Yarrowia lipolytica: one gene and its partners. The protein of the gene in region 3 interacts with the protein of the main gene of each other region in a pairwise test. Links are inferred from orthologs where the notes say so. Each region holds a gene or a part of one and is shown on either strand. Other genes may lie near its edges. The genes, in order: YALI1_C32706g, YALI1_C06917g, YALI1_B27102g and YALI1_F01034g.

The links.
Region 1: the proteins of YALI1_B27102g (region 3) and YALI1_C32706g interact in binary tests that used the Saccharomyces cerevisiae proteins (3 or more experiments, as listed by UniProt). The link is inferred for Yarrowia lipolytica from reciprocal best matches to the Saccharomyces cerevisiae genes HSH155 and BUD13.
Region 2: the proteins of YALI1_B27102g (region 3) and YALI1_C06917g interact in a two-hybrid assay, tested with the Saccharomyces cerevisiae proteins (3 studies listed by BioGRID). The link is inferred for Yarrowia lipolytica from reciprocal best matches to the Saccharomyces cerevisiae genes HSH155 and PRP5.
Region 4: the proteins of YALI1_B27102g (region 3) and YALI1_F01034g interact in binary tests that used the Saccharomyces cerevisiae proteins (3 or more experiments, as listed by UniProt). The link is inferred for Yarrowia lipolytica from reciprocal best matches to the Saccharomyces cerevisiae genes HSH155 and CUS2.

Annotation. Positions count from the first base shown.
Region 1 is NC_090772.1:3,268,985-3,272,975, forward strand, and holds YALI1_C32706g (uncharacterized protein), read right to left. Parts: upstream 1,640-3,991; coding exon 974-1,639; downstream 1-973. Other genes in the region: YALI1_C32721g (uncharacterized protein), read right to left, coding at 1,940-3,181. UniProt on the Saccharomyces cerevisiae protein: Required for efficient splicing and pre-mRNA nuclear retention. May also be involved in positioning the proximal bud pole signal.
Region 2 is NC_090772.1:687,881-694,454, forward strand, and holds YALI1_C06917g (uncharacterized protein), read right to left. Parts: upstream 3,903-6,574; coding exon 978-3,902; downstream 1-977. Other genes in the region: YALI1_C06929g (uncharacterized protein), read left to right, coding at 5,077-5,757, 5,847-6,286.
Region 3 is NC_090771.1:2,705,763-2,712,684, forward strand, and holds YALI1_B27102g (uncharacterized protein), read right to left. Parts: upstream 4,438-6,922; coding exon 961-4,437; downstream 1-960. Other genes in the region: YALI1_B27110g (uncharacterized protein), read left to right, coding at 5,234-6,511; YALI1_B27123g (uncharacterized protein), read left to right, coding at 6,570-6,922. UniProt on the Saccharomyces cerevisiae protein: Contacts pre-mRNA on both sides of the branch site early in spliceosome assembly.
Region 4 is NC_090775.1:101,150-105,810, reverse strand, and holds YALI1_F01034g (uncharacterized protein), read right to left. Parts: upstream 2,386-4,661; coding exon 1,162-2,385; downstream 1-1,161. Other genes in the region: YALI1_F01020g (uncharacterized protein), read left to right, coding at 3,781-4,661. UniProt on the Saccharomyces cerevisiae protein: U2 snRNP protein which helps to refold U2 into a structure favorable for its binding to SF3b and SF3a prior to spliceosome assembly. Mediates functional interactions between U2 RNA and PRP5.

The DNA of each region.
Region 1 (3,991 bases), on a different chromosome or scaffold from region 3:
ACTGACGAGCTGTTATTTGTCCCTTCCGTCCCCTCTCTGATCGCTTAGAACACTGTCGCGTCAGTAAGATACGACCTCGTTACCAACAACAGAATGCCTTTCTCTGTAGTACTGCATGTTGGTCAGGTCGAGTACACCTTTGTCGTGAGGAGTGTAGTCTCTGGTACTTGCCTCGGGTTCGTCCTTCACGGAACACATAAAACGTACCAGTCTCGAAGAGGGGCTTCAACTGGGCGGTGAGCGTGGATCCGGAGCGCTTGACTGCATGAATATAGGTAACCTCGAGGTTCTTGTAGAAAGGGCCCGTGAGCTGTTCGTACCTCTCGTCTATTGTCATTGACTACCATTGCTGTTGGTTATTTACCCTGGCGGCCATGTGAGGCACAATCAGTCTGGCACAATCCAGCCAGGTGAACAATTGGGCATCTGAAGCCAGCTCCATCCAGGGGAATCGTTCGAGAACCTTGTCTTTCCCGGTGTTGCATCTTCGCAAGCAATGTAGTCCCTGAGTCAGTGGCAGGTCCGAGACAATGTTATGACCGACTTCAGCGGAAAGTGCTTGAACATAATCTGGTTGATCTCGGTGGTAGGGAGCTCCACGTCGAAGGTTAGAACGAGGTATCTGTCGTTAGCAAAGGACTCAGGGATGGTGCGCACCTGAATGGAGAATATCAACCGGTATCAGCATGGCAACTCTCTTAGTGAATGTGGGTATCAGAGGTGTAGGGTGTCCGGGTGTCTGAGTGTCTGTGACTGTGTGGAAGAGTATGTCAGAGGGAGAGTGTGTGTGTTTGTTATGCTATCTGAACTTAGGTCGGCTCGCCACACACACTACACATGAAGCAATTGTAAACCACCTTTAACAGGTAAAGATGATGTCGCCCTTATCCGAATCAGTGGGTATCCGTTCTACAACCCTATTAATGACTGTATATTATGTCTATAAATATATGCACCTTTCATCTTCAACCAATCAAAAGTCCATTTCATTCTGATAATCCACATCGGCCTGACGTTTCATCTCCTCTTGTCTCGATAGCCACTTGGCCTCGAATCCATTGCTGCGATCATTGCCATCCCATAAACACCCTGGTTTGATGTTGAACCGATTCGAGGGGAACGAACCAGTGTATGAAGGCAAGGCTCCTCCAGAGCTCGTAGTCGAAGCCTTGGGTGTGGCCTTTCCAAACTTGGCTGCCGGATCAGCATAAATAGCCCGGTTCTGACGTTCCTCATTGTATTCCTTGTCATCAGCATGCACAGTCACCTTGGTGTGTTTCATGGCCTCCTCTTTAGCCTGTCGTTTCCTGGCCTCCTCCACTTGAACTGCACCTAGCAGGTTCTCTTTTTTCCGACGCTCAGCTGCTTCCTTCTCCTGCTGACGTTGCTGTAACACGGAGATCTGGTCGTCCACAGAAATGATGTTTCCCGAGGCATCTCGATAGACCGTCTCTTCTACCGGATCAATAGCCTTTCCAGACAGAGTCTTCCATCCGCCCTTGGCACGCGGAGGTGGAGGGGCCTGTTGTGTCTGTCGCTGCGTAATTGGCGCGGTATCCACATCCAAGCCTTCCACCAGTTTTCGCTTTTTCGTTTTCTTTGGTTTAGAGCCGTATTTTTTCGCCAGATATTCGTCCATGGTGTTGTCAGGTCGTGCTGAATCCCGTGAGCCCAAATGTTAAGTGTAGTGCAGCTGTTCCGAAGCTTAAAGTGTATCGAGAGTCCGCTTGAAATTAAAATGGAACAAAAATTGTTTTAATATCTACTATATTAGCGCTCGTCAAATACGAAGAATTAAATATATATTCGATCCCCTACAGTAGATCAATATGTTAGTTACCGCAATGTTCATTAATTTTTATAATATTCCGTCTGTGCACTTGGTGCATCCTCCCCCATAGACCCCACAATATCTCATTAAATAATTTTAGCACTCAAGCTACAAGGTGCTTGCAACCGACGAAAACTCGGTGTTTTCGATCTTCTCAACAGCCTCTCGAATAAGGGTGCCAATCTCCTTTCTCTCTAGAACAGAACACCATCCCAGCGCTGTGCACGAGTAGGTGGAGTCGCGAATGTCCAGGTTGGGGTTGAAAGCCAAGAGGTGCTTGGATAGTTCCACATCTCCCCGTTCAACAGCATGATGCAGAGCTGTCTTCCCTTCTATCAGGTCGTCAATGTGGGTAGGAAGCATGGAACTGGCCAAGGACGCTCCTCCAATGTCCCACAGGTCAAGAATGGTATGAGGAGCTCCCTTGGAAATGAGCCACTGGGCCATCTTGGTATGCTTGAATTTGACGGCCATCTGTAGCAGAGACATTCCACTGGTAGTGGGGAAAGAGAAGGAAGTTCCAGCTGGCAGTTTCTCCATCTCGTTGAGTTCACCAAGACAGACATGCTGGATGATCTTCTGTTCCGCAGGGCTGTTCTGGCACTTTTCAAACTCCTCTCGGTAGAGCCACCAGGTAGTTCCATTCACAATATGTTTGAAACCCAGCTTGAGGTACAGCTCTTGGCTGACAGCGTTGAGAGAGACTCGGTTGTAACCCTTCTTCTGAGCGAAAGCGCAAGCATTCTTGACGAGCTGACCACCGATTCCCTTGCCACTGTGGTCGTCGTGAACACCAATGTTGTGAATACCGGCTTCGGTGCCCATGAATAGATCGGCATGGCCGATAATTTGGCCCTTGTGAGTGGCGACAAACTTGGTAATAACGCCTGAACGTCGCATATCGAGGGCGTACATGCCGTCGTCCTCCTTGTTGGAAAATGGGATACTGGAAGGAATCACAGCCATGTTGTTGACCTTGATGTACACATCTTTGATGTGCTTGGGTCGAATGTCGGCAGTATCGAGATCCAAAACCATCCACTGAGGCTCCCAACCAATCTGAAAGCCTCTAGCAAGAAGCCGAGCCGACAGAGCCTCGTTTCCAACTCCGTCCTCCTTCCATACACCTATGGTACGAGGAAGGCTGGTGTGGTAGAAGTCCATCATCCGGTCGAGCTGGGCATCTGAGACATTGGACGCGGGAAATGTCACTTGAGCGTGTCTGTCGACTCCACAGTTGGTGTAGATAAGGCCGTTGTCCTCGACAACCTTTCCTATCGAGGCTGCAATCGCCAGAAACAGTTCTCGGTGGTTGACGACCGCTGGGTTTTCGTTGTGCGTTTTTGTCATTGATTGGTGAGGTCTAGGAGGCCGTCGCACCAGGCATTTTTGAACTACGGCAGCTCAGCCCCTGCTACGTCCGAGTTCTATATTCTAGACCCAAAACGTGCATGACTAGCGTCTGTCACCGTATTCCATCAAGATTTTAGAACTTGAGCGGATGACGAAAAAGCGAAAAATCACGATACGAGCATTTCAAGCGTTAGTAGCCTTTGCCCCATGTAATTTTATCTTTTCTCCGCCTTCCAAGGACCGCTTGTGAGCTCTGGGAACTCGCTGTCGACGTGACCTGTACAAGTAGCTCCACGATACTCTGACGTGGGTGGCTAGCCTCTGAGGCTTATGTCACCTATAAATGCTAAAATGGAGCATTTTTGCAAACCCGGCGGTGACGTCCGCCCACTCTGTTAGCTGTCAGAAGAGCGTCTGTGCGTATACAGAGCGCTAATTTTGAAACCGGGATGTCCAGGTGCCACCGAATAGCTCCTCTCTCAGGGTATCGCTTTCGGGAATCTGTGTTTTTTTCTGACAATGTAGAAAGAGTTTAATAACACGATTTACACTCTACAACTTCAAACCTAATGGATATAATGTCACCGTGACGTTGAGTGATAATACGGGCTACACCGACCAAAGCCCCCTGAAGAGTGTGAAAATCGTAACACAGAGAAATTAAAGACATAGGCCGAAATCTGCTCCCCAATAACAGCTATACGATGTTAAACACGGATTAGCACCTCGTAAAAAAAGGGGGTGCACAGGGCGCACAGGGTACACAGTAGGCTCTTGGGCTCATGCTGACTCGGATTATCAGTGTTG
Region 2 (6,574 bases), on a different chromosome or scaffold from region 3:
CCCCTATTCCCCTCCACGCATGGTCATGCACTCCACTCTTAAACCCGCACATCATCACTCCACACACACTTGACGCCGACTACAACGATGGGTTCGTGTTTCAGCAAGAGCGAGCCCGCGTCCACGTCGGGCAGGACCGCAGGACGAGCACCACCAGCGGCTAAGCCTGCCAAACCAGCAAAGACGGAAAACATCCCACTCAAGAAACAACCGCCCAAACAGCCAACAAACACATACAACTCGCCAGGACACACTCTGGGAGGCACAGCCGAAACGCTGGACGCCAAGGAGGCCGCCGCACGCGCCGCAGAGGCCCGGGCCCAGGGCCAGAATAAGGGTGGCAAACTCAGTCAGCAGCTGGCCAAGGAGAAGGCTAAGAACCGGACCGAATTGATGAAGACAGAGAAAGTCGAGGAGCCATTGATTTATGATTAGTGGGCGACTCATGTGATTACTGTGATTCCCGAGATTCTGCAGTGTTGCCATTGTGTTGTCTGCGGCTACATTGTCTCCACGATGCTTTCTTGTGGAGAGATGCTCAACGACTCAACAATAACAACAAGGGGCTAGGACGACTCATGTGGATGGTTACGCGCCATCTGAGACTAGAAGGATTATATAGGAATGTATTATTTTAACGATTGGTGGGGTGCAATGGTGAAGGGTGGTGATAACGGGGTTCAGGTTGAAACATCGTTATACAACGAGAGCATGAGAAAAGATCCAGCTCCTGAGAGATCTCCAAATGAAAACTCAGCAACAGTCCAATAGTGTGTACACCATGACACCATAGCCAAGTCTGACTGAGAACTAATGGTTACTCCTTAGTTATTGTACCGTAGATACTGGAACAAGTGGAATACTTTCTGCCTCTCAACCGCTTCATTCGTCAATCGTTATAATATATACATCTTCCTACTCGTACATGGACCATTCCATACTCGGTCCTACAAAGTTTGACCCCCCCTTGGTATCGTCTACACCTGATACCTAGCGCCCTTAACCAAACCACTCACCAGAAGCTCCGACAACTCATGATGAGCCAGTTTCACCGCCCGCTCACTGGTACCCTCAATGAGAATAAACAGCTTGGGTTCATCCTTGGGTCCGGGAATACGACCAGGAGGATAGTACTCGCCCTTAGCAGTGATACTGCAACCAGTGTTGGCAATAACACGACTGACAGAAGTGTTACTACTGGCTCTGTATCGAGCCTGCTGAGGGAAGTCGTTGATCTGCAGCGTCGTGTGGTAAGCAGTTGTGGGGGATTTGCTGTCTGGAGGAGTAACCACAATCACAGGCTTGGGAATGATATCAGTGTTTGCAGTACTGGCAGCTGGAGTACTGCTTTCCGTCTCAGCCTCTCCAGCCTCGTCTCCCTCATATGCTCGTCGCTCATGTTCTCTGGTCGCATCTCTCTCATCCTGTAGACGCTCCAGACCTTTACCAGAGAAGCCGTACATGTGTCTCTTCTCAGTTCCAGACCGCACCTTGAACTCGAATCTCTCGGTCATGAGCTGCACAGGCGCAGGGGGCGCGTTTCCAGACGACTTGATGGCACGTGAGATTTCAGCTGCCAGACGCTCCTGGTCACTCAGAAGGAACGTCAACGCTGTACCCTTCTGACCAGCCCGTCCGGTTCGCCCAACCCGATGCACGTAGTCTTCCATGTGGTTGGGGGAGTCCCAGTTGACAACTAGACCGAGCCCCTTGACGTCGAGACCTCGAGCAGCCACAGAGGTGGCAATGAGCACGGAAACAAGCCCGCTTTTGAAATCGCTGATCGCCTGGTCTCGATCAGCCTGCTCCTTGCCTCCATGAATAGAAAGACACGGGTAACCAGATTGGATGAGCTCCTTGAGCAAAGAATCAGCACTCTCCTGACGCTCCACAAAGATGAGACACTTGGGGTTGGGAATGGGGGTAGCTGCCGACTCTCCGGTACCCACACGACCCTCACTTTGCTCGTCAAAGAATCCCTGAGCAAAATACTTGCCCAGAACCTCTAAAAGGCGCGGGAACTTGCTCTTTTCGTTCTGGAATACTTCCACAAACTGCGTGATTTCAGAAGCAACCACGGAGCGCGCTCCGACAATGATTTCAATAGGACCCAGGGAGTCAGACGACCGCTTGCTGAGCACTCTTCGCGCCAGCTGTTCCATTTTCTTCGGAAAAGTGGCTGAAAAAAGTACAGTTTGCCGGTCAGGTCGGATAGATTGGGTCAACTTGAGAACCTGAGGCTCAAAGCCCATATCGAACATTCGATCGGCTTCGTCAATGACCAGGAAGGTCACTCTGGATAATGAGAGCACTCTACCTTGGTTGGCAGCCAACAAGTCGATCATTCGTCCAGGAGTACAGACAATGATATGGGTGCCCTTTTTGAGAGCAGCAATCTGGTCTTTGATGGGACTGCCGCCATAAGCGCATACAGCTGTGAGTTCGAGAGCAGCCAGAAACGGCCTCAAGTCTCGGTAGATTTGTACACACAGTTCTCTTGTGGGTGTAATGATGACACCCAAGGGGTGAGAGGAGGCCCCCGAAAGAGTGGTGGTATGTGTTTCGACCCCAACACGGTGTTTGATGTGACGTAGCATTGGTAATAGAAACGCTAAGGTCTTTCCTGAACCTGTTTTGGCTACAGAAATCACATCTCGGCCGCTCATGACAGCTGGAATTGCCTGGGCTTGGATACTTGTGGGTTTATCGTATCGCAAGTCGTTCAGAACTCCCATAGTAGGTCCCGGAAGACCCAGTTGTGTCCATTTGGAGATTGGCTTGGGACAATCTTTGCCTCGGATTTTGATTCCGTCGAGTGAAAGACGCAGCTCATTCGTTTCGGCTTCAGTCATGTCGGCAAGTTCGCTCGATTCGACGTAGAATTGGCGTCGGAAGTCTTCATAGACCTGTTTGGAGTGGTCCACAATCGCAATCTCCTTTCGTTTCGAAAGCGCAGAAAGATCGAGAGTCGGATCCTGTGACTTTTCCAGCGTATCCACCTGCTCCCAGACATTGAGATTTTCCAAAGGAGTGGAGTCGGCTATGGAGACAGATGTGGTGGTTGGAAGGGTCAGGGAAGACATGTAGGCGTCGAGGGGGTCGACTTCGGCAGGCTCAGAAGCAGCACCGTTCTTTTCAGAGGCATTCTTGGCCTCACTTTGGCTTCCACCTCTTCCCTTACCCTCACTCTTACCACTGCCCTCCTTCTCACCCAACTTTTTCAACAATTTTGCCGGCTTCCTACCGGCGTCCTCTTCATCTGAGTCTCCCCCAAAGAACATCTTTCTCTTCACCTGGCCCTGATCTGTAGCTTTACGCAAACCACTCAATCCGGACATGGAGAAGCCGGCTTTCGGAGAAGCGGGGGCGGTGGAAGGAGCAGGGCTCGCGCTGGCGCTCTTACTTCTCTCCAGCTCCTTTTTGCGCTTCCATTCAGCGACTTTGGCAAGCTTGGCAGCTTTTTTGGCGTCGATTTCTGCTTGCGACGGGGTTGCATTTGTCGTATTGGGCGTGGTGCCGGTCACCTGGCTAGTACTCGAAGTTTCACTCATGGAATTAGATGACTTAGTAGAATCATGCCCAGAAGGCTGGTGTGGACGGCCCGAGGGGGGAGGTCGATGTGCGTCCCGTGACCGATCCCGTGACCGATCCCGTGACCGATCCCGTGAACCAGAGCCGCGACGTTCCCGCTCACGTGATCTCGAATAACGTCGGTCGCGCGGGTCCTGTCTGTAACCCCCTCTGTCTCTTTCTCTGTCTCTGTCTCTGTCTCTGTCTCTGTCTCTAACATCCCGGAACCGATCTCGCTCGTCTCTCGAGCGATCTCGGTATCCGTACCGTCCACCTCCATCTCTGCGGGTGCCAGAATAGCCCCATTGGTCATACTCACGGTCACGTGGCATCAGGGCTGTAAACCGATAAAGACGAAGATATATCGCAGGTGTTTGCAGTGGCGATGTTGAGAGAGTCGGATATAATTATGCAGAGCTTAAAAATTAACCGGAAATAGGGTTCACGGATGGGGACTAACGGTGGAGATAATGGCGTGGGGAGAAGCGGTGGAGGGGAACCGACGGCGGATTTGAGGGTTCATGGAGAAATAAATGGCAGTATACTCTCTTGCTTTTCCGGTAAGCCTTGTGGTTGGTGAGATAGAGAGGGTGTTTTGACTGGGAGATTGGAGTGAAATACTTACTTATATATGGTGGAGCTTCTCCCAACTAATTTTAATGAAGATATCGGGATAGAGAGGAGGTAGATCCGGTACAGAGAGACCACCTTCTGGGGCAGTAGTATTGGTGCTAGCGAGTAGATAATCAACTTAATGGGGATATGTGCCGCAATGAGATGCTGGAATAAGATTTCATTTCGATATCTACTCTACAACAGGTTTTAGATGATCTCTGTTCTCAGTCAAGCGTGTCTACCTCAAGCAGTCATAATGACGTGAAAGAACACACAAAAACTGCAATTCTGGTAATAAATATTGGTTTTTTATTGCTACATACTGTTTATATCCAGAAAATTGTTCCTTAGGAGCTTTCATTTATGAATTTTGCAAACTGCTGGGGTCCTCCTACTACAACACCGTGCTCCTCCGTACTAGGAAGAGTCAATAGACCGGACCAAAAACCACAAGATGAAACAGACAAACAGTCAGCAGACAAAAGGAGAGATAATAAACATCAATACTGCTGTTTGAAAGAAGGGCATTGAACAACTGTTTGGCTCAAGATAGTGGCAGGGGCACGTGCAATTGTGCTGTGCTTCTCTCGTTGCGGTAACTGCCATCATTAGGCTGGTATCTGGGCGGTTTGAACGAGTAGTTGAAAAGTAATAGTCAGTATTGTTTCATACTAAAAGTGGCCATTATTGAGGCTGCTACAACTCACCGAAAACAGTCACTTCAAAAAACACCTTGGACCAAATCTCACCAAAGAGACCAAGTCAATAACCGTGAAGCTCATTAGAAACACCACCAAAGCGATCAAGCCTTTCGTGAAATATCATCAAGGGGGTTTACAGAATGTCTATAAATACCCTTGACACCGCCGTAAGAACCCCATCATCTACAACATGTTCCCTCTTTTTCTCCTCCTAGCTCCGGCTCTGGCTGCTCCAACAGCTACGCCTACCATGACCTCAACCTCTTCAACCACCGCCAACTCAGCTGCAATCACTACAACATCTCTGCAAACAGTCAAGGCCTTCGGTCTTCATTGCGAGCCCTCCGAATACCGTCTCCACACCAAAACCGAGATGACATATGAGGACGAGCTATGCATTGTGAACGAGTACGTCTTCACCACCTGTCGAAACCGGCCTCCTTCCACCTGCCCTCCTGAAGAGCAGGTGCTGGTAACCAAGACTTGGGAAACTGATTCAGGTTTCGATATCTGGACCACCACTGGGGTTGTCACTGAATGTGTCAAACAAACCACAACCAAAACTTCAACAACTGTCCTTCCTACTAAGACTTTTACTCCAACGCCTTCGTCCACTGAGTCCAAGCCTACATCAACCCCTAGCACATCCTCCAGAACATCCTCCAAGACTTCAACTCTGCCGGAAACAACCCCCGAAGCTCAGGTCTCTACCATTCCCCCTACCTCTACTCTCTACTCCACAACCATCGTCACCACCATCTCCAGCAAGATTGTCACGGTTACTGTTCCCTGTGACTCTGCAGATGTTCTTGAGACAAAGACGGAGTCAGACACGGAGCCTCCCAAGTCAACCACGGAGCCTCCTAAGTCGGTTGGGTCCTCTAAGTCCCTGAGTCCACCCCAGAGCCTGTCCAGTCGACCACCAAAATTCACATTGAAAATAATACTTCCCTTCCTGAGCCAGAACCGATCACCACTTCGGAACCCACTCCCAAGTCAACCACCAAGGCCCTTGAACCCTCCCCCGAGGTTCCTCAACCCAAGATTCAATCCAAGCCTGATCCCACCACTGAGCCCAAATCTGAGCCGGTGATCTCTTCAAAGCCTGAGCCTACTCCCGAGCCAATTACGTCTGAATCCGTTCCTCCTGCTCCTCCTTCTATCGAGACAATGACTTACTTTGTCACCACCACCTCTGTTTGTGATATTCCCGATTGTTTGACCACCAGTTTCCAGCCTGAACCCTCCAAGCCAGCCGAGCCTACACCTTCTCCCCCTCCCTCTCCCTCTGAACCAGCTGAGCCCCAGTTCTCGGGAACAGTTCCTCCCCAGGCAAACGCCGCAGTTCCTATCGTGACTGCACCTCTCCTAGCTCTCATTCCTGTCATCGCTCTATTTCTGTAAGTAGCTTAGTTAGTCAATTAATGTATACTTTAGACTAACGGTAATCGTCGCGCTGTATACCCCCAATAAAGGAGATAGACGTCTGAAACTTTCATATTGTGTTCCAAACGACATCAAATATTATTGGTAAAAAAATCTACTCTCATTCTCAAGTATTTCGCAAAATTATTCGCCGCAACAACGGCAATTTTTAAGATACTGTAGGTCACGTTTTTCTCTATTTCAAGAACGGGCATTCTGGCCGAGTGGTCTAAGGCGCCAGGTTCAGGTGACTGAATCAATAT
Region 3 (6,922 bases):
TTATATACCTTCCACTACAAGTAGCCCTTTAGTGTCCCTCCACCTTTTGACACTTAAAACAGAGTTGTCCTTACTTGGATGATGGATCAATTTTAGTGTGGGGCACGTTTGTGGGGTGCATAATCGTCAAAAAAGTAAGAGGTACTTGTAGTAGAAAGACATTTGAAGGAATATTCACATGTGTTTGAGTTCCAATGAAGTTATAAAAAAAGGCGTCGTGGCATGGTGTCATACTCGTCCAATTCCAATCGCCACTATAGTGCCTCTTCGTAACGGTCGCTTGTACGTCTAGCAGACCCTAGGCTCAACCAAAGGCTACTTCGTATGTACTGCAGCTACAGTATTGTAATGTCACATCAAAGGAAAGAGGCAGCAGGAACAACGGGTTACATATCCCACGTATAGTACGATACTGTACAGTAGTAGCCCCTGTTTCGGACAGTGACACCAACGCGGTGTACAATACCGTCTTTGAATTGTGGGGTACCTCTGACTAGGCCGCATATTTGACACCTCTCAACAATGCTGTCATTTGGTGCAAATACTGATTAGTATTAATGATTACACAGGTAGCTAGCTATATTATTACTTGATTAGCCAACTACTATAGTTTGTTGCCTCCTTGTCAGGAGAAGCAGCATGAACCCACGGAACTCTGTATTCGCAAGGACAACGCGGTCAGATGACCCGATCATGGCAACAGTATATTTTCTCCCATCACTTTTGCTCCTACAAAAGAAACACAGCATCGATCTACTGTATCTGTTCCTGAGTCACTGTGATTGCATCCATGGCAGTCTCCACTGTAGCTGCCACTGATAATTACAGTAGCTAGCTATCGTACTTACGAGTACAGTATGTACATACTGTACTTGTATATGGTCAATTAAGTGATGGGGGCAACCCCTTTCTGTAATATACATTATGCTAAATGTGAACTAACAATTCACTTGTAGTCTCTTAAACCCACAAATCCAACTCGTGTCGGTAAAATTCATCATCCTCTGGCATGTCGGGGTAGTAAGGAGTCATGGCATCGACATTATCGATGTACGCAGAGTTGTATGCCTTCCAGAACGGATCCCTGACCTTCCGGGCAGCATGGAACAGACCGGCCCAAATGTAATTAAGCACCAGGCCGGGTCCCAGGCAAAGACGAATGCCCTCAATGGCGTCCAAAATACGCACGATCACGTGAGGAGACGTCTCATAGATGTTGGGAATCAGCAGATTGAGAAAATGCACCATGGCATCCTCGGCTCCGAGACCCACGCAGTTGATGGCCAGATGGCGCACAACAGTGGCTGCCGTCTGTCGATGTACGTGGTCTCTGTCTGTAAGAGCATCTTCCAGCAGGGGAGCCACAGCGTAAATGTAGTCTTTGGCCATATCTCCAATGTACTCAAACATGAAGGTCATGGCTTTAAGAACACCGTTCTGGACGTTGATCTCAGGAACACGGTACTCGTTCATCAGAGCAGGAAGCACGGTGAACGGAGAACAAGTCTCGGCCACAATACCAATCGCCACAGCTGTACAGACACGAGACTGACGTTCCTGGACTCGCAGGTTAGATAGCAGCGTGGCCAATACATCTTGGGGGCCAATCGCCTTGGCGATATATCCAAATGTGTTATTTGCTGCCTTTTGAATGGTCTTCTTGTGTGCCTTAAGGAGATCAATGAGCTCGAAACAGATTCGCATCCATTCTCGAGCGGACACATACTCGGGACCTCGGTCGGCAATTCGACCAACCAGATCGATGGTGTTCTCCTGTACCTTTTCGTGTCGGTTACGCAGAATAGGCGTCAGACGAGGCAGAAGATCTCGAATGGGGGGAGTCATTGAAGCCAGACCAACAACAGCGACAATGGCCTTGAGGGCTCCAAGCAGAGAACCCAGAGCCTCAGGATACTCTTCTCCAAGCTGCTCGTACAGGATTTGTCCCAGCTTGTTGAGGGCCTCATCTTCTCCACAGTTCTTCATAACTCCAGCAATCTGGCCAATCAAGTCGGCAGCCTGACTTCGAACAATAGGGGACTTGTTGGAGAGTCTGAACAGCACGGAAGACGTGATCTGAGAAAAGTAGGGTGCGGCTCGTGTATCAAGAGCTTGGATAACTGTTCCGAAGCCTCGTAGCATGACAATCGAGTCGGCTCGGTTGGCATTGGCAGCTGGTGATTGCAGCTGGAACGCCGTCAGAATACCGTCAACCAGACGGGTTTCCAGTTTCGAGCCGGCCTCGATATCAGCAATTCCGAGATTGGCCACAACCTTGTCAATAGTCTCCATTGTAAGTCGTCTAAAGTGGTCAGACTCGTCCTTGAGATGGTTAGCAACTCGGTCCACGATTTCAGCAGTACCGACCTTATTAGCCAGTTCCACAGTTGTAGAGAGAATAAGCTTGTAGCACACTCGATCAGAAGCCATTCGACGGGTCCAGAAGCACTTAAAGTACGTGGGAAGAACCTCGACACGAATGTATCGAGCGGTTACACCCTCAGAGCGGGCACATTGCGTGACCACTTCCAGAACCACTCGCTTCATTTCCTCGTCAGGGGAATAGAACTCTCGAAGAACGACAGCCATAACTTCCTTGGTATAATAATCGGCATAGTCGGGATTCATCAGAGGAATAATGTATCCAATCGCTTTCAGAAACGCCACAAGATGTTTACCTCGCTGCTCTCGCACCCCAAGCCAGAGAGGTTCCAATACGTTCTCAAACGACTCAATACCGTAAGGGGCGGCAGCTTCGGCAAGAGCAGCAAGAGCCTGCGCGGTCATCTGACGGACCTTAGGGTTGTCGTCAGTCAATCCGTCTCCAATACAATCCACGAGAGAGCCGAGATATGGCAGCACTGTGCATCCGATGAGAATAGCAATCTGCTGGACAATCTTTGCTCCTGTGTGACGAGCTTCCCATGACTTTTTTGACTTGCAGACGGCTTTAATGAAAGGAACTAATGCAGGAACTCCCAGAGCACTAGCAACAATGGCAAACGATCGAGCAGTGGTGTTTCGGACAAACTCGTCTGCGTGTCCGACGTTAGGTCGGAGTGTTGATATCATATGTGGGAGTCCAGCGGCCTTGGAGATGTTGGCAACCAGCTCCCGTCCCTCGACTCGTGTGAAATAGTCCTCATCGATCAGTAATGGCTCAATGACAGACAATAGTCGGGGTGTGTATGGTCTTACCAGATCACCCAGCTTGAACAGGACTCGATCAACCACCTTGACAAGCCAGTGTCGTTCTGTATCCTCCAAGGACCTTTCTCTGAAAAGGGGGATGATTTGCGAAAAAAGGGCCTCGGGACCCAGAGATCGAGCAGAATCAGTCAACTGTCTCATGGCCTGCTTTCGCATCTGAGGAGATCCGTTCTTGATTTTTAGAATCAGACGCATCACCTGGCGCTCCTTCATTTCACGAGCACTCAATAGACCCTGTTCTTCTGCATCCTGCTGTTTGATCAGCGCTCCAAAGTACTTCATATCACTTTCCTTAAAGTACGCCAAATCTCCCACTCCAGGAATAGCGTCAGCCGAAGGAACGGCTGCCTGGATCGCCAATGCTCTATCGACCGCAGTTTCTGTGCTGCCTCCTGGAATGCTGTATCCCTCAATCTTGACTGTCACCTTGCTCTTGATTAATGGCTTGTATGAAGCAGGGGGAGTAAGTACAATGTATCCTTCCGAAGGAAGCACCGAAGCAAGAAACTCGTCTGTTATTTTGCTGGTTGTAGACGTCTCGGCTTCCTTTTCGTCGGGAACGTCCCATCTCGACTTCCGCTTTCGTCCTCTCTCACCACTGTCTTCAGTGACAGGTTTATCTGATCGGCCCTTTCTGACACGAGGACCCACTCTGGGAGGAGTTTGAGCCCGTTCGAACTTCCGAAGTTCATCCTGTTCCTTCTGGGATGTTCCATTTGCCTCCTCCTTCTTTCTGATTGCCTCCTGTACTCGCTTCTCGTCTCGTTCCAGGTCTCTTAAAGCCAGTCGCTCCTTGTAGCTTAGATCCTTCTCATCGTCATCAGCCTCCTGGCGATCCAGACGTTTGCGCTTGTAATCGTTTGCACGGTTGTAAATGCTCTTGTTGGACTCGTTAGCTTGCAGCTCATCGACAGCCTGCAAAGATACAGTCTCGTTGAGGAACTCTTGTGGAGCAGTATACGAGTCCTGAGGCAGGTTTTGACGCTCATCATCGTTAAGAGCCTGCATTTCCGATACGTCTGCCATCACTGCGTCGTCATCCTCGAAGAACGGCTTTTGCCTGTCTTCTCGCAGCCGCTTAATTTCGTCCATGCTGTTGTGTGTGGGTGTGTTAGTAGTGAGAAAACGCAATGCATAAAAATACAAATCAAGCTCTGATCTGAGATAATGTGGGAGTGCGACAAGATGCATCTTGTGGAGAATTGAGAAGATACTACAAGTAGACATAAGGAGGGGCAAAACGGGATTTTGGTGTGCACGTTCTTTATTCAATCAAGAAATACGCGTAGATGTGGTAGGGTGATGTACCAAGTGAGGTGTGTATGTCTCTATTTTTAGTTGAAAACATGATAACATTACTTTCCCTCAGTTGGGACATTTGTTGGAGTAAGATAAACAGCCCTTTCACAGACGAAGTTATAATTAAATGAATGTACAGTATATGCAGAAAGAAAAGAAAAAACAGACAGTATGCATTATGTGATTATAGAAAAAGGAATGGTGAACAATCATGTTCTCAACTGGTGGAAAATATATGTGTAGGAGGTACATTATGGAAGCCAATTATATGAGAAAAGGCTTGGTATTGCCACAAAAATGACAGCTGCTTCGCTTTTTACAATCTTAACACAGGAAGTAAAGATGACTTTTTTTACCCACAGTACAAGTGCGTACTTGTGCTGTAATCTAACAATTTACTTGACATGCTTGTCTATATTTTCTTCTCATATTCTATAGGGTTTAATGTATAAAAAAATATGAATAAATAAATAAAATATTCTCAAGAATATTGTACCATATTGGGAATATAGGGGTGATTTAAACATATATCACATACTTGATAGAGTCATAATGATCCCTCAACATCATTCCTGCCTGAAGAGTTGTTAACTGATAACTTCACATCTCAATAACGCCTCTCTATCCCACCATTAGACTCACCACGTATGATACAAGCACTGTAAACGCGCATGCATGCAATACGTAATACCCATCTCAGAGTCAGATTCATCAGCACACAACGATGAAACTGTCGATACTGCTCTGCTTGGCATTGGTGGCATGCGTGCTTGGATACTCGGAGAACCTTTCTCTGCGGCCTCTGTCGCAGAAGTATCTTCACGCCTCGTTCGAATTCGAGGCTGAGTCCGAACCCTTCAACACCCACCCGGTCGCTCATCACGACGAGTTCCCCCGAATTCTCTCACAGATCATCACCCAGAGCGACGCGCGCGAAATCCACTTGCGGTTTGCCCAGGGATTTTGGGACGCCGAAGAATGGGGCGTTCTCCCACACAATGGAGCGTTTGCTGGCGGAACAGGAATCGAGGCTTGGGCCTGGATCGAGGCCTCATCCAAACAGGAAGCCAAGAAGAAGTGGTTCGGACTGGTCAACTCGCTGTCTGGACTTTTCTGCGCCTCGCTGAACTTCATTGACTCGGCCCACACAGTGGAGCCTCAGTTCACCTTTAAACAATCATCCACAGGTTCCAACGGAGCGAACGAAACCACAGCATACCTGTTCTCGGGCGCGCTTCCTGCTGAACCTGTCTGCACCGAAAACCTCACTCCTTTCATTCGACTGCTCCCTTGCAAGGGTAAGGCTGGAATCTCTTCTCTTCTTGACGGACACAAGATCTTCGACTCCCAGTGGCAAGGTATGGCCATTGACGTTCATCGAGAATGCACCGATGAGGAAGCCTGCAAGATGGTGCTCAAGCAGACTGTAGATGCCGTGGTCGATGTTCCTCGTCAATTAAGACGAAACAAGCACCCTATCCCCGTACCTCTTTACGGAACCGACTTCAGATGTGACACCTCCAAGCCCTATGCTAACGACTACATCTGTTTCCCTCTCGGTGACCCTACCGAGGTGTCCTGGAGTATCCGGGAGATCTTCGGGCGGCCTATTGAGGGAGCCTGTAGAATCGGACAGGGCTCCGTCAACCTGGACGTCCCTGACGGATGGAAGCTGCAGAGCAAGTCTGGTGAGGACGGTGAGATTCTGGACACCTATCCTACACTGTCTTTGGCTAACACTGACTCTCTGGACATCATTCTGTCGTCCGATAACGCCACCCATGTGTCCCCTGTGTCGTCTCCTCCTGTGTTTGCCCAGCGGTCTTTCTCTGGCCACGGACAACAACGAGGAGGTGTTCGAACCGCCTTCACCAACCCTTCTTCCGAGCCCGTCACCTTCATCTACTCGGAAACTCTGCCCTGGTTCATGCGGTTCTACTTCCACACCATGAAGCTCAAGAATGTGGATGGAGTTTGGAGAAGAGTCCGAGGGCACGTTTGAGGTGCTACAATACTCCAAGTCTGTGGACCGAAAGAAACCCACGCACTTTGAGCTCAAGATGACTATCCCAGCTCGTTATTCCGCTACTCTGGGCTACGACTTTGACAAGTCCATGCTATATCTCGCTGAATACCCTCCAGATGCCAACCACGGGTTCTCCATTCCCCCCGGTGTGCTCACCGTTGTAGACTCCAATGGTACCCATACCATGAGCACTCGAACTACAGCCCTGATTCTGTCTTTGCCTACTCCTGATTTCTCCATGCCCTACAACGTCATCATTCTGACTTCCACGGTGATTGCGTTGGCGTTCGGCTCAGTCTTTTCGCTGCTGCTTAAGCGAGTGCTGTCTCAGGAGCAGGCCGACTACTTGTCTTCTCAGACTCCTCTGAAGAAGCTGCTGGCCAAGTT
Region 4 (4,661 bases), on a different chromosome or scaffold from region 3:
TGAATACCTTGGAAGTACATTGATGGAGTCACGTAATCTGGGAGTGAGTCGACGATAGTTGCAATGGATGACTCAATTGACTGGAAGAGACGAGGAGAAAAGTGTGCTCATGTTGTAAATATTTATATTTAGACAATTTTGGACTTCAAACTGACCATATAGGTCTGTAACGGGACTTATCCACTGTGTTGTAGTGGAAGGATTTCCAAGTATTTTTAACTGTATTTAATAAGACATTTCCTAATTTCTAAGCTACTTTAAGAACTTATCAACATATTTTCTAACTATTTGAATTGATTTTGTTTAAAATAGAGAATAAACGCATATATTCAATCTGCTCACTAGTCTATCAAACCTGTGTAGAATCAATATTATGGAGATAAAAAAGTGGATCAAAGTAATAATATAAGTGCCAGATTTCAATTAATACTACTTTTATTGCCTTTTACTACTTATATCGATCAGCAGACGACGACTATTTTCGACTCAAATTAATGATTCACTCTTCAGTTGGGTTATCAAGTAAATTTAGTTGGAGTTATCTGGTACTGTACCGATTGAACTAGCCAAAAAATGAAATAAAAATGTATTATGTTAGTATAAAAACGGCCTGGAAATATTGGCCTGGAAATATTGGCCTGGAAATATTGGCCTGGCTTTTGAAGTTATTGCCGTTGTAACACTTGTTTTCTATCTATTTCATAAAGCCGATTAGAACCTCCAGTTTAAATCTGCGTCGAAATGGAACACTACTCAATCATTCTCGGAGACATCCAAAACTGCACCAGTAGCTGACAATATGAAGGCTGCTTCAAGTCATATTTGACAGGATACAATGACAAATTCGTGCTTCATAGGTTTACTTTGTTCTTCTCCAGATACTGTAACAATATCTAAACCCTGGGATACAGAATCTTAACAATGATTTTAACAATTTTGTAAATATGGTAACTATTTAAACAAAATATCGACGTTTCAATATTATTATGTTATAACAAATAAAATAAAAAAAATACAAAAAACTAACGTTAAGTAATTGATTCGGCTTCGCGCGTCATACCCTATTGAACTCAACTTGTCCATTTGTCGATCTATATGATTAGTATACACGCACTTATGGCGAGATGGAGACCAAGTGTATCTAACAGAGTACATACTATACTACTCGCCCTCCAGCCACTCTCCAAACCTCTCCAGCCTCTCCTCATCTTCCTCATCACCTCCCCGATCCTTAGTCTTTCTCCACTTGGTCTCGTCATAATCAATGTATGCCTCGAGTTTCTGGCCACCAAAGAAGCGACCGTTCATCTTCTCCACGCACTCCGCGGCATCGGAAGCTCTTTCAAACTTGACGGTCACCACTCCGTCGGGCTCCAGGTCGTATAAAGTCACGTTTGTGACTGTTCCGATAGCTCCACAACCGTTATAAATATCTTCCTTGATGTCCATTTCGGCATCCACGTCATCCTGGAGCTCCTGAATGGTAAATACCCGTTTGAGAGTGACCACCTTGGACGACTTTTCACGAGACTCCGTCTTGACTCGTTTGACCTCCTCCTCATCCCAATCGTTGAGCCTTTGCTGCAATTGAGTGTACTTCCTCTTGGCCTTGGCCTTGGCTTCTTCGGAGTAATTGGGACCGGAATTCGTCTCTTGCTTCTTATTGTCGCTACTGCCCTTTTCCTTGTCGAAAACTGCCGGCTGGACATTCAGAGTGACCATTGTGTCGCCAACGTAAACTGGCTGATTGTGCAGCATATCCACCGCCAATTTCACGCTTTCGGGCTTGAAAAAAACCACCAGACCGTCGCCCTTGCCCTTGCCCTGCTCATCGACATAAACCCGAGCCTTCTTCTTGCCAGTGTAAACATCTTCGGCCAACACTCCGTACTTTTGGAAAATGTCCACCAGCTCATCGTTGGTAGCAGTTGAAGGAAGCCCACTGACATAGATGGCCTTCTGAGGAGGCTTGTCGCCCTTCTGCTGAGCCTTTTTCGCATTCCGTCGCTCCTCAATTACCTCTTTGCGCCTCTTTTTGAGCTGCTCCTGAACCGCCTTCTTGTCCGAAACCGGCTGGTTTTTGCCCGTATCCCTCCCACTCGGTTCCGCCTTCGCAGTCGCAGTTGTGTCCGTCGTCTCCCCAGCAACCAGAGCCGCTTCCAACTCGTCTCCCTTATCCTCCACCTCCTCCTCCTTGTCCTCCTCCTCCTCCTCTATCAACCGCCAGCCTCTAGTCACATGGTCAAACTCGAACATGGTCCCATCTTCCTCCTTCTCATACAGATACGTGCCCTTGATCGTCGAGTATGTCACGTGATCGGGGTCTCCACCGGCGGGCGGTAACGGGGCAATTGCCGCGATTTCCGCCAATTGGTTGTCTGACATGTTGGAGTGAATTAGTATCGTGTAATTGTCGAGCTTGGAATTCCATATTGGTGGGCGATTTTAGGTTTCAGATTAAGAGATATGAATTGATTTGGGAAAAAAATTAAATGAAAAAACAAAAAAAAATCCTTGATTTAATGAATTGATGTATTTGTATTTTTGTATATTTGTATTTTTCTCCATTTTTATTGACCTTTGGTATTTTTTTATTTCTTTATTTCTTTTGTGGTTTTTTTTAAAAATACATTTTTAATTTTTAATTTTTAAATTTTTAATTTTTATAAATTTATTTCATTCAGCCTAAAGCAACAACCAAAAGCCAGACTATTTTGTGCTCATTTCCAGGTGAATTGAACTGATCTGGGAAAACGAAAAGAAATATTAAAACAAAAAATTCATTGAAATGGCGGAAAATCGAACTGGTGAACAATTTTCCACCACCACTCTTAACCTAACCCATACTCACCCACCCACCTTAGTCAGCCGTAGTTTTAAGTTCGCCTGATGAAAGTGCTTTTCTTTCACCTCAAGACCCTCAACCCTAGTCTTTGATCACATCCGTTTTACGGTGAGTATGGCGCGGCACCGCGCTCGGAGATGGGCCACGTGACGTCTCCGGTGTCGGTCTGTGTGTGTTGATTTCGCTCTTTTCTGCCTCTTTGTGTTTGGATCAACAACGATGAAATGTCCCCAATGTGAGGAGGTAGAGAGCGGCAGAGAGTGAGGCACAGACACGGTGGTAGGACGACGAGAGCGGTGAGAGACGCAGGTTATGTTGTTGGCTGGTGGATGGAGCTGTTGGCTGGTTGCTGGAGCTGTTTGCTGCTTCTGTCTGCTGTTGACTGTGTGTGTTCTATCATGATGTTGTTGCTGTGACTATGTGGTGACTTTGATGTGACTAATGCTGACATGAATTCAGTGAATGTTGGCCACCGGATCTGTTGGTGCTGATTTAGGGCTGTCATACGTGTTCATTTGGCCCTTTCGGGTGTTGATTCAGTTCATTACAGACCATCTTGGTCTCCCACCTACCGCCAGTCCCACGAATACACGCATACGCAGTTGTCAGGCTGACTGCAGAGAGAAAAGATACAGCAACTCACAGGTCAAAGAGAAGACACGTCATTAGCGGATAGTGCTCGTCAGGCAACACTCAACGTACAGCATCCAACAGACAGCACTCGACAGATCACCGCAGACATCATCATATCGCTAGTGAGCTGGCGACAGACCCACATCTGTGATCCCAATACTGCATCTCCACTACAGATCTGCTGCTGTCATACACAAAAGCTGGTCTCTTGCACCCAGTCTGACGAGCAATAGTGTCTTTTTCCCGTCTTACGACCTCGCCTGCGATCCGCACTTGCACTTTTCTTCACCTCGCTAACCCAGATGTCCCCCACCGCTGAACAGATTGCATGGCTGTTTGTGTCGCAGTACTTTAAGCGACTGCACTCGGACCCCAGCGAGCTGCACCACTTTTACGACGTCGATGCGAAGCTGCTGCACGGCAAGGAGCAGGACGACACCGCCGCGATCTCTGGCACAGAGAGCATCCAGGAGCGGATTAGCCAGCTGCACACCAAGGGCTGCAAGACGCTCATCTCGTGCCTGGACGCCATGGAGGGCCCCAACAAGTCCATTCTGATCCAGATCATCGGCCAGATGTCGTCCACCGACGATGGCGTGCCTCAGAAGTTTGTGCAGTCCGTTGTTCTCGAAAGCAAGAGCGGCACCAACTACTCCATCTACAGCGACGTGTTCCGGTTCCTGAAGGATGACGACGAAGAGGTGGCCAAGGAGGATGTCAAGGAGGAGCCTAAGGAGGACGTCAAGGAGGAGCCCAAGAAGGAGGTTGAGGCGAAGAAGGAGCCAAAGAAGGAGGAGCCCAAGAAGGAGGAGACCAAGAAGGAGGAGCCCAAGAAGGAGGAGGCCCTCAAGAAGGAGGAGCCCAAGAAGGATGAGCCCAAGAAGGAGGCTCCTGTTGCTGCTCCTGTTGCTACTCCGGCCACTCCTGTTGCCGCCTCTTCTTCTTCCGCTGCTTCCGCTGCTCCTGAGACCAAGGAGGAGCCCAAGAAGGAGACAGCTGCTGCCGCCCCCCCTGCTGCAGCCACCTCCGCCCCCGCTGAGCCTACCAAGCCCTCGGGACCTATCTCTTGGGCTGCCCGAGCCCGGTCTTCTGACAAGCCTGCTCCCGCGGGCTCTGCTACCCCCGCCGAGACCCCCTCGCCCGTGGCTGCCGCTGCTGTAGCCAAAAAGGAGCCTTCCAGCTC